Linked DNA regions of Saccharomyces cerevisiae S288C. The gene in region 2 interacts genetically with the main gene of each other region. Each region holds a gene or a part of one and is shown on either strand. Other genes may lie near its edges.

Region 1 (2,832 bases), on a different chromosome or scaffold from region 2:
CATGGCTACCATGCCATTGCTCTCGAACATCACTGAAGTAATTCTTCACTTTGTCCACAAAAGTCAAATCTTTCTGTAGTGGTGCGTTCTTGTTAGAGCAGTTCCATGAACACTGTTCTGGATGGAAAGATGGATAAGTATAGATGTAAATATTAGCGACGATAGTGAGGAAGGTGGCAAAATATGCAAACTTCTTGACCGCACACCTGAGCATCTTGGGATTCTTGGTACAATGCTGCTGCTGTTGTTTTCAGTTCTTCAATCGCGACCGGATAAATCGCTTGTAATAACTTAGTTTGCAATTTTTCTTAAAACTTCAGAAATCAAGTCACAATTGTAATGAATAATTTGGAAAACACAAGTCACCAAAAATAGCTCAATATTTGATAGTGACTAGGGGAGGAATCTAGCAAAAAAAACGTTCTTTATCTATATGAATATTTAGAAATTAAGATATGTAATTACTTTAAGATGTTCCGAGTAAGCAGAGGCGTTTCGCTCTATTTAAGCAACTGTTCCATTTTCATCTGCGCCAAATGATAAACAGTGTTGATTTCTCTTTCCAGGGCATTAATAAACAGAGTATAAATTTTAAATGCGTAGTATCTATTTGACATGACGAAATTGTAGAAATTCAACAGGTCCACAGTCAAAAACTGCTGCGAACCACGCATATAAATACCGATACATGTTACTACCAACGTCAAATACAGGAATCTTTTGACCAGAGTAATGAAGTTCATCAACAACTTGTAAAAGACATAAAATGTGAAGAAAATAAACAATAGTTGGAAAACTAACGGGTGTGATTGGCTGAACTTAGTAATAGTAGGAATCAACCATTGGATGACGTCAATGGCAGACTTTAGGCATTGTGTTACTACGGATAGTTCGTATTGCGGTTGAGTAGCGTCCATTTTTGGGTTGCTCACTTTGCCCTTTGGTGACTGTTACGAAATTTTTTTCAGTAGCTTTTTCTCTTCCAGTAATTATATTTTCTCTACAAAAAATATACTCACTACAAAAGCCAGCAAATAAATGATAATATTCGTACGACACTAGAGAATATGATATTGTATTAAGTAAATATATATATATAGAGAAGGAGAGAGAAAGACAAGAACAGGGCGGCTATTAAGCGTCGTCTTCGTCATTCATAGAGATAGCTGTCTGTGGCTTTTCTTCTTCTGCAACCTCAGGCTTTGCTTCCGGCTCTTCCGCAAATGAGTTGGATAGGAACTCTTTCATTAGGCCAGCCGAGGTTTCAAAATACTCAGCTTGAGCCTTGGCCAATTCCTTCAAATCTTCACTGAAGTTAGCGTGAGAAATAACCTCCTGCAAGCACACAGTAGCGTCTTCAGTGACTTGAGCAAACTGGTCTTCCAAAGTCTCCATTTGGACTCTCAAGGAAGCTTCCTTTTCTGGCTTCTTGTTGTTTGCCAAGTTAGTTCTTGCCACGTCATATCTTAATCTCATGGAATGGACATCCTTGCGGCACTTATCGGCCTTACCGATCTCAAAAGAGAGCCTTTCCCTCAAATTTTTATTGAATTTGGTTTGAATCAAGGTATCTTGTTGAATTCTAGCTTGAGCAATCTTAGCCTGCACATCACTGAATTGCAAGAGTGCCGAAGCCAAGGGTTGTTCCTCGGTGGGGAACATCTTGTTCAAACATTCACTGGAGTTCAAAGCCACTTTACTGAGGGCGTAGTTCAACGTCTTGGGTTCTTTGATGGGGCCTGGAGCAACTAAGATGTTTTGTGCCTCAGACGCAGATGTAGCATGAGTCAACTCTGTCAACTTGGAAGCCACGCTTCTTGAAAACTCGTTGACGGATTCGTTGATGTATTTAGGGTAATCGTACGATCCGTTTTCGTAGATAGCAGTTACACCCAAGAAGTGGTTGTAAATCAGTTTGATGGTGTCAACCTTATCTTCCAGCTCTGTGTACTCTCTTGGCAATTGGGAGATGTCCGTCACCTGGCCCAAACGTTCCTGGACCATTCTTTGGGTGGATTGCGCCAAACTGGGCAATTCCTGGGTTTTTTCGGAAACACTTGTGGATATTTCCTGTAATTTCTTGCTCAAAGAGCTGGCGAAGGCATTAAACGACATTGATGACTATGATTTGTTGCTTATTCCACTCCTCTGCCTACAAATCATATAGGTTATAGGTGAAGAAGGTTGCAATTTTCTTGTTTTTGACATCCCGATTAATCCACCGCTCGCTTCTCACGGTAATAAGGGAAAATGTCTGCCAGTATGAAGCAAACAACATTAAACTGAGAACATTGGTGAGTCAAGACCATAACTGGAAGACGTGGTATCAAGACGCCTTCACGGTAGTATGTGGAAGATTATGCGTTCATGGAAATGTGGGGGAATGCGCTGGGCACATCGCCAGCGACCCTCACACGAGCTGCTGTCGCAACTGTCGTTCGACCAGCATTACAAGATTAGGTCGAACATTGAGCTGCTGATACAGGACTACGCTAGTAAACCAATTGCGCCCCTAAACTACGAGTATTTCCTGCAATACAGGCCGCCGCTGACCAAGAAGGAGGAGTACATGCTGACGATCAAGACAATCAACCTGTTGCTTTCATTGACGTGTAAACGGCTTAATGCCATTCAGAGGCTACCGTATAATGCGGTAATCAACCCTCATATTGAGAGAACCAACTCTTTGTATTTGAAAAGCTTGCAAACGTTGCTATCAATCGCATACCCGTACGAGTTGCACAATCCTCCCAAGATACAGGCCAAGTTCACAGAACTGCTGGACGACCACGAGGACGCCATTGTGGTATTGGCAAAAGGTCTTCAGGAAAT
Region 2 (3,570 bases):
ACTAAACGGTGCCTTCTTCGTTGCAGGTGTTGCGTTTATTCAATCTCCACTCATGGACATGTTGGCCCCACAATTATAAGGGGTTGGTTCTTGTATAGTTGAGATTTTTTCACTTACCTGTATATATATTGGTTTTTGGGTTCTCAAAAGAATTTGTCAAATATGTTTATATTTTATTCCCGAATTATGTAGAGTTAGCAGTGTATATAATGGAAAAAAAGCAAGTATGCTTTACATTTAGTATTCCTTTTAACGCAAGCCTTTTGTATACGGGCTGTTTACTGTTCACCGGAAAGCCGTGACAAAAGAGAGTGACAAAGGTATCGAAATCACAAGGTATATGCTGTGTTTGTATTTATATAAGCTTGCCTCACAAGTAAAAGTGGATCAACAAACTGAGAAGAAACAAATGGGACCCATTGATGTCGTAATAATATATTCATTGGTGTATGAAATTAGATTAAAGCTTTTACGTATTTTGAGGTATTATGTACTGAATTCTAATCCTTTAACACTTTCTTAACTATTTTTTCGACTTCATCCCAATCATCCGTTGGAACACGAGTCATTTCTATATCACCGAAGTATTTCTGAATTGCAGATAAAATATTGAAAGAATTTTTGTCATGTACAAAGGAAATGGCAACACCTTTTCTGCCGAATCTACCGGTTCTACCGATTCTGTGAATGTAAGTAGCTGGATCTGCTTGTCCGTTAGCAAGCGTTGGAAGATCATAGTTGACAACCATTGAGACAGTAGGAATATCAATACCACGGGCCAGGACATTAGTAGTAATCAAAACTTTGGATCTACCCTCTCTGAAGTCGTCTATTAATCTGTCTCTTTCTTGTGTCTGTAAATCACCATGCAAGATAGAAACTTCATGACCTTCACTTTTCAATTTCCCATATAAAACGTTTGCGGTTTTTTTGGTTGCAACAAAAATAATGGAAGATCCAATTGTCATTAAACCATATAGCTCAGTTAAAACATCAAACTTATCTGCTTCGTTTTTGCAGTCCATGTATAGTTGTTTGATGGCATCAACATTAACTTCATTTGTTTGTAATTCTAAAGTATTAGCATTTGGAACGATCTTCTTTGCGTACTGCCTAACTGCATCGGCAAAAGTAGCACTAAACAAAACAAGTTGAGTATCCTTGGGTAAAAATCTCTTAACACGAATACACTGGTCACCTAGACCCTGCTGATCCAACATGTTATCGGCTTCATCCAAAACAAAAATTTTAATTTTCTGTAGCTGCATCAATTTTCTACGCATTAGGTCAAGAACAGTGCCCGGCGTACCAACAATCACTTGAGCATTAATTTGCTTGTTTTTCTCAAAAGAATCGGGAACAATTAACTGACTGGTTATTTTTGTGAACTTACCCATTTCCTGAACGACTTCTAGTGTTTGTCTGGCCAGTTCTCTGGAGGGGGCTAAGCAAATTGCCTGTGGAGATGCGTCTTCTGGGTTTACTCTTGTTAGCATCGTTAAAGAAAAGGCGGCAGTTTTACCTGTACCTGATTGAGACTGAGCAATCATGTTCCTAGGCGGATTATGTAATAATAATGGCAGCGCCCTTTCTTGAATTTTGGATGGTTTTTGAAATTTCATAGCATATATCCCCTTTAGTAGTTCTGGTGCTAATCCTAATTCATCAAAAGATTTAGCACTGTACAATGGAGAATTTGGGTCAGCCTGGATATCAGCAAGTTTGACCTTAACTTCATATTCTGAGCTGATTAAATTACTATCCTCCTGTTTTGTTTTTTTTTCCTCAACTTTTGGAACTAATTTTTCTGCAGGCTTGATCGAATCAGCAGTCTTTTCTGGTTGGGACTTAACAGTCTCTTTTGTTGAAACTTCACTTGTATCCTCTTTCTCATTATCAATCTTTAAAGAAGCTAGTAAATCGGCCGGATCTCTCTTTGTATCACTCATTCCGATCTAAGGTGGTAAGTATTTTTATAGATGTTCTTGGTTGCTGATCGAGTATTTTATGGTGTATAAAGGTCAACTGGTTTTAAAGGTAATGCAAATTTTGCAATGCTTTGCTTGATTGAAAAATTTGCATACGGGTAATACCGCGTTGATAATAATGTAACAATCAAATAATCAAGACAACAGCAGAGTTATTCTTTAAATACGATATATATGGGAGTATCATCATATTTAAATGTTGATTTTTTTGGGTTTTTTTTTTGGGCAATTTTAGAGCAGTAGGCTTAAAATATATTAAAATTATTAAAGGTATTACTTAATCTTAAAGGTCGTCGAAATCTATAATAGTACGTGTATCAAACACTTTTGTAATTAATATTAATGTCGTTAAGTGGTTAAATAGTGGGGTATTTCGTTTTTGCGTTGTTGTAAAAATTTACTAGGACATTCCATCAGGCTTCCAATCTAACCCCAACCTTTGATAAACCTGTGTTTGGCATTGAAACCAGATGGCAGCCCTCTCCTCTGAAGTTAGAGAAACCTTATTAACGACATTTTTCTGTGTACCAGCACCTAATGTCTTAGCATCATTTTTATAATTTTTTAGTTGCAAATTTTTCATTAAAGCCTTTTTTAAAAGACTACCAGAGTTAGTGCAGTCATGTATTTTAAAACCATGCGGTATGAGGCTTGGAGGCGGCATGTCAGGCCTTTTCAAATTTGAATTTAGTAATTTCCATCTCTTGTATTCGGAGCGCTTTTGTTTAAAGTCATATCTGCATTGGGCCTCGACGGCAACATTTAATAAATAGTTCTCAATTATATTTCTCCATTCAGGCTTTGATAGACGCATAATGGGTTCCTTTGACCCAGTCATTTCTTCATGTCTTTTTCTTGCTGATGCAACTGTATATTTTGCGCTTGTCAACTTAAAATTGCGGTCTAGATTTGCTTCTATGTATAAGTCTGAGTTAACCAATGTCGCTATTATAAACTCATCACTGGAACTTAGGGGAAGTAATTGTAGTCTGAATTGCGGTAAGTTTATACCGGAGGTCACTACCGTCGGTAACTGGGAACCCCATTCTGGCCTTAATTGTTCCACAATTAACAAGGATCGTATATCGTTTAGATCCCAGTCCAGCAATTCGCGCTTTGTAAACTTAGGACGTCCGTTATAAAGTATATTTGCTGGATCAGACATCAGAACTTCGGGAGAATACATATCATAGAATGTTTTGGGTAAAGCGTCTTCAAGTGTTACTTCTGTGACGAACTTAGGTGTTTTTGTATCAATTAACGAGCTGCCTGTGGTGATGTCCGTAAGAGCAGTAGATGGCTGTGAAAATATACTCGATTCGTATGAAGATGAATGGTCTGAAACAAAACTTTGACTGTCCGGGGTATTTATGTGTTGGATATTTGCATTTTCTGCAGTATTACTGTTCACTTCCATAGGTTTAGTTCCTGCAGTAGGCAATAACCTTTTTATGATTTCTATTCTTGCCCTGTCTGCATATTCTGGTGGTGTAGTAACAAAATTGTTGTTGCTCCTAACATTTCCTGAATTGGAACTCAAATTATAGTGATTTGGTGTGTTTATTTCTTGGTTATTATGTGG
Region 3 (2,671 bases), on a different chromosome or scaffold from region 2:
ATGCTCAAACTTTCGCTGGCTCCACTCACGATAAAAAATTAGGAGCTGGCAGGAAGACAAGTATTCAGGATGAAATGGTCGGATCGTTAGAACAATACAAGAATAATTGGTTAATTTTACAGCAACAAGACTAAGCGCACCTATTCCCTCTGTTATGTTGCTTATTATTTTCTTCCCTTCTGAAATGCATTTTTAGCTTTTTTCATCAATTTGGCATCATCGTGCATTTCAACTTCTAAGTATGAATGCTTTTTGGTAGTTAAGCTTGAAGGGTTTTATGAAAACTCTCTTTTCTTAGATATTTCTACAGTCTTATATAACGTCAATTCACACAAAAGTGTTCACTGCCAACTACAAGAATAGCATATACACATATTAGTTACTTCAACGAGTTCTTATTGTTATTATAAAAGTATATAAACCCTATAAGCATTTTTGCATTTGTGCTCTCACATCACCTTTAATCATTTTTTCACTCATGTACCAGTATACGTCGACCTCTACTTCTTCCCTCCTTTCTTTTTTCCAACTTTATCCAATCTTTTACTTTTCTTACTACTTGCTTTCCTTATATGATCGGTACTGTCAATAATCTTAGTCGTTGTACTCTCTGCCAGTTCATCGTTTTCAAATTTCGTATGCTTCCCTTGAAAGTTGCTCCTGCTTATAGAGGGCTCGAATTGGTTTTTATTACCGTCCAAAACATTGGAAATGATATTCTTAGCTTTTTCTTGCTCTGCCTGCGATTTTTCGTTGGATTTGGTTATCCTATTATCGTATTGTTTAGCCTTATCCATGTATGATTTTACTCTTTTCAGTTCGCCGAGTATAGGAGACATATCTTTGACGCCTAGGACTTTCATATTAGCAAACATCAGAGAACTCAATACATACGCGTAACGATTAATTAGTTCTAATTTAGCCCTCTCATCAGATAATAGCAACAGCTGTTCATCCAGTGACTTCGACGTTAGTTTCTCTATTTCTGGTTTCAGCTCGTCTAACGCCTTTGAAAAACTCCTAACGTATGGTTTTATCTTTTCGATATCTTCCATTACTGATCTAATACTCCGTTACGTTGCTAGATATATGTTTATATTAATCGATTTCTACTGTAGGCTGTTAACCAGTTTTTTCTTCCACAGACTACAGAAGGCACAGTCCATAACCATCTGCCTTAGCTCATCGCTGAAAAACTGCACGAGAATTCGTGAAACGTGACATGTTGGGTACCCGCATGAATAGAAAATATGCTAGTAACGACTCTTCTTTACATTCCCATTGCTGGTGTATGTACGCTGATATGAAAATGCTTGCCCAATAAATACCAAGGTTATGACGTTGCCGCTTTGTATTGTCTTCTAATCTAAAAATCTTTCCACGCCAGTAGTGGCTGGCTTTATGCGGCAAAGATCGCTGTTTCTCCTTTTAGAAGTAAATTTCCACGGAGTATGACGGCCGGACGGACCGGCGTAGTTCATTCTAGTCTTAGGGGTCCTTTACCTTGGCAAAAGCATTTCTAAGTGAAACCCTTGCAGGAGTAGAATTGGGCGCAAAGGTCCCTCGTTGGGATCTGTCCTCCTGGGGGACGGTAGGTGGTTGAATGATTCTGCCTTCTTGAAATACGAAATATCAATCTGTTTCTGCTGGCTCACGGTATCTACTGTAATTTCGTTGCTATTGCCATTGATATTAAATTATTGCTACTGTGTGTGGTTCTTACTCTCCATGGATAGTGTTGAAAATATACAGTAATGACTAGAGATTCAAAAAAGAAGCACCATTGGGGCACTGCCTTTTTAAGGACAATTGGAGTCAAACGTAAGCACAAGAAGGATCGTAATTTTTTAAATAATACTACAGGAGAGAATGTTAGCACAACAGCCAGTGCTGAGCGATTCAGAAGAGTAGGAGGAAATCCGGATATTCCGTCTTTACTTAAGCCCGAAACTTTCACGGAATCTCCTGCAAAAGGATCTCAAAAGGCGGCGGCATCTTCCTTAGCGCATAGCCAAGGTGTATTCAATATTCCAATCGTTATAGATCCCATGGAAACAAACAGGCTTGAAAAGACAAACACGAATTTGACGGCAGGTTCATTGAAGGGTCGCTTTCAGGATGGTAACTCGAATTCAAATTCTGTACCAAGTTTATCCGTCCAGGCATTAGAAAAGGAAAAACTGCAAAGTGGGAAACGAGAAGGGTCCAGCAATCAAGCTGAGGAAAAAACTCCAGACGGCCATGATGAACATACCGCCTTTGAAACGTTTCTTTCCTTCGCCCATAATGCCGTAAGCCACATTCCCAAAATAAACGTACAAGACGCTGACAATGGAACAATTTCCAGGAATGAACCAAAGGACAGGAAAAAAAACTCATCTAATATATCAGGAGCCCTTTCCGAAAATAGCACTAACAATAAAAACACTTCATCGACAAAAGAAAGCGATGGCCCATTTTTGAAAAATTTAGACAATATTCTTGCAGCATCCAAATCATCAACTCCAAGTAACCAACAGCTTAATACAACGGAAGCAGGAAGTAAAAGTAAACCATCATCATTATCTAGATTGGCATTTGGAAATTTGAAAGGCCATATTCACTCGAACTCACATTCAAGCTCTAATGCTATCTCAGGAGATGATACATCATTAGATGACACTAGAAAGAT

Evidence for each region. Genes that interact genetically often act in the same process or in processes that back each other up.
Region 1: mutations in DBP5 (region 2) and APQ12 impair growth when combined (synthetic growth defect), as found in Saccharomyces cerevisiae (4 studies listed by BioGRID, with this or other methods).
Region 3: mutations in DBP5 (region 2) and LRP1 together harm fitness more than expected from each alone (negative genetic interaction), as found in Saccharomyces cerevisiae (4 studies listed by BioGRID, with this or other methods).

What each region holds. Positions count from the first base shown.
Region 1 is NC_001141.2:275,808-278,639, reverse strand, and holds APQ12 (Apq12p), read right to left. Parts: upstream 918-2,832; coding exon 501-917; downstream 1-500. Other genes in the region: TED1 (Ted1p), read right to left, coding at 1-214; GVP36 (Gvp36p), read right to left, coding at 1,135-2,115; protein kinase PKP1, read left to right, coding at 2,348-2,832. UniProt on the Saccharomyces cerevisiae protein: Involved in the regulation of lipid homeostasis in the endoplasmic reticulum, thereby impacting nuclear pore complex biogenesis and localization, and nucleocytoplasmic mRNA transport.
Region 2 is NC_001147.6:413,959-417,528, forward strand, and holds DBP5 (ATP-dependent RNA helicase DBP5), read right to left. Parts: upstream 1,950-3,570; coding exon 501-1,949; downstream 1-500. Other genes in the region: TOM6 (Tom6p), read left to right, coding at 1-79; STD1 (Std1p), read right to left, coding at 2,389-3,570. UniProt on the Saccharomyces cerevisiae protein: ATP-dependent RNA helicase associated with the nuclear pore complex and essential for mRNA export from the nucleus. May participate in a terminal step of mRNA export through the removal of proteins that accompany mRNA through the nucleopore complex.
Region 3 is NC_001140.6:265,922-268,592, reverse strand, and holds LRP1 (Lrp1p), read right to left. Parts: upstream 1,056-2,671; coding exon 501-1,055; downstream 1-500. Other genes in the region: putative serine/threonine protein kinase KSP1, read left to right, coding at 1-134; LAM4 (Lam4p), read left to right, coding at 1,755-2,671. UniProt on the Saccharomyces cerevisiae protein: Required for exosome-dependent processing of pre-rRNA and small nucleolar RNA (snRNA) precursors. Involved in processing of 35S pre-rRNA at the A0, A1 and A2 sites. Required for activity of RRP6 in 7S pre-rRNA processing.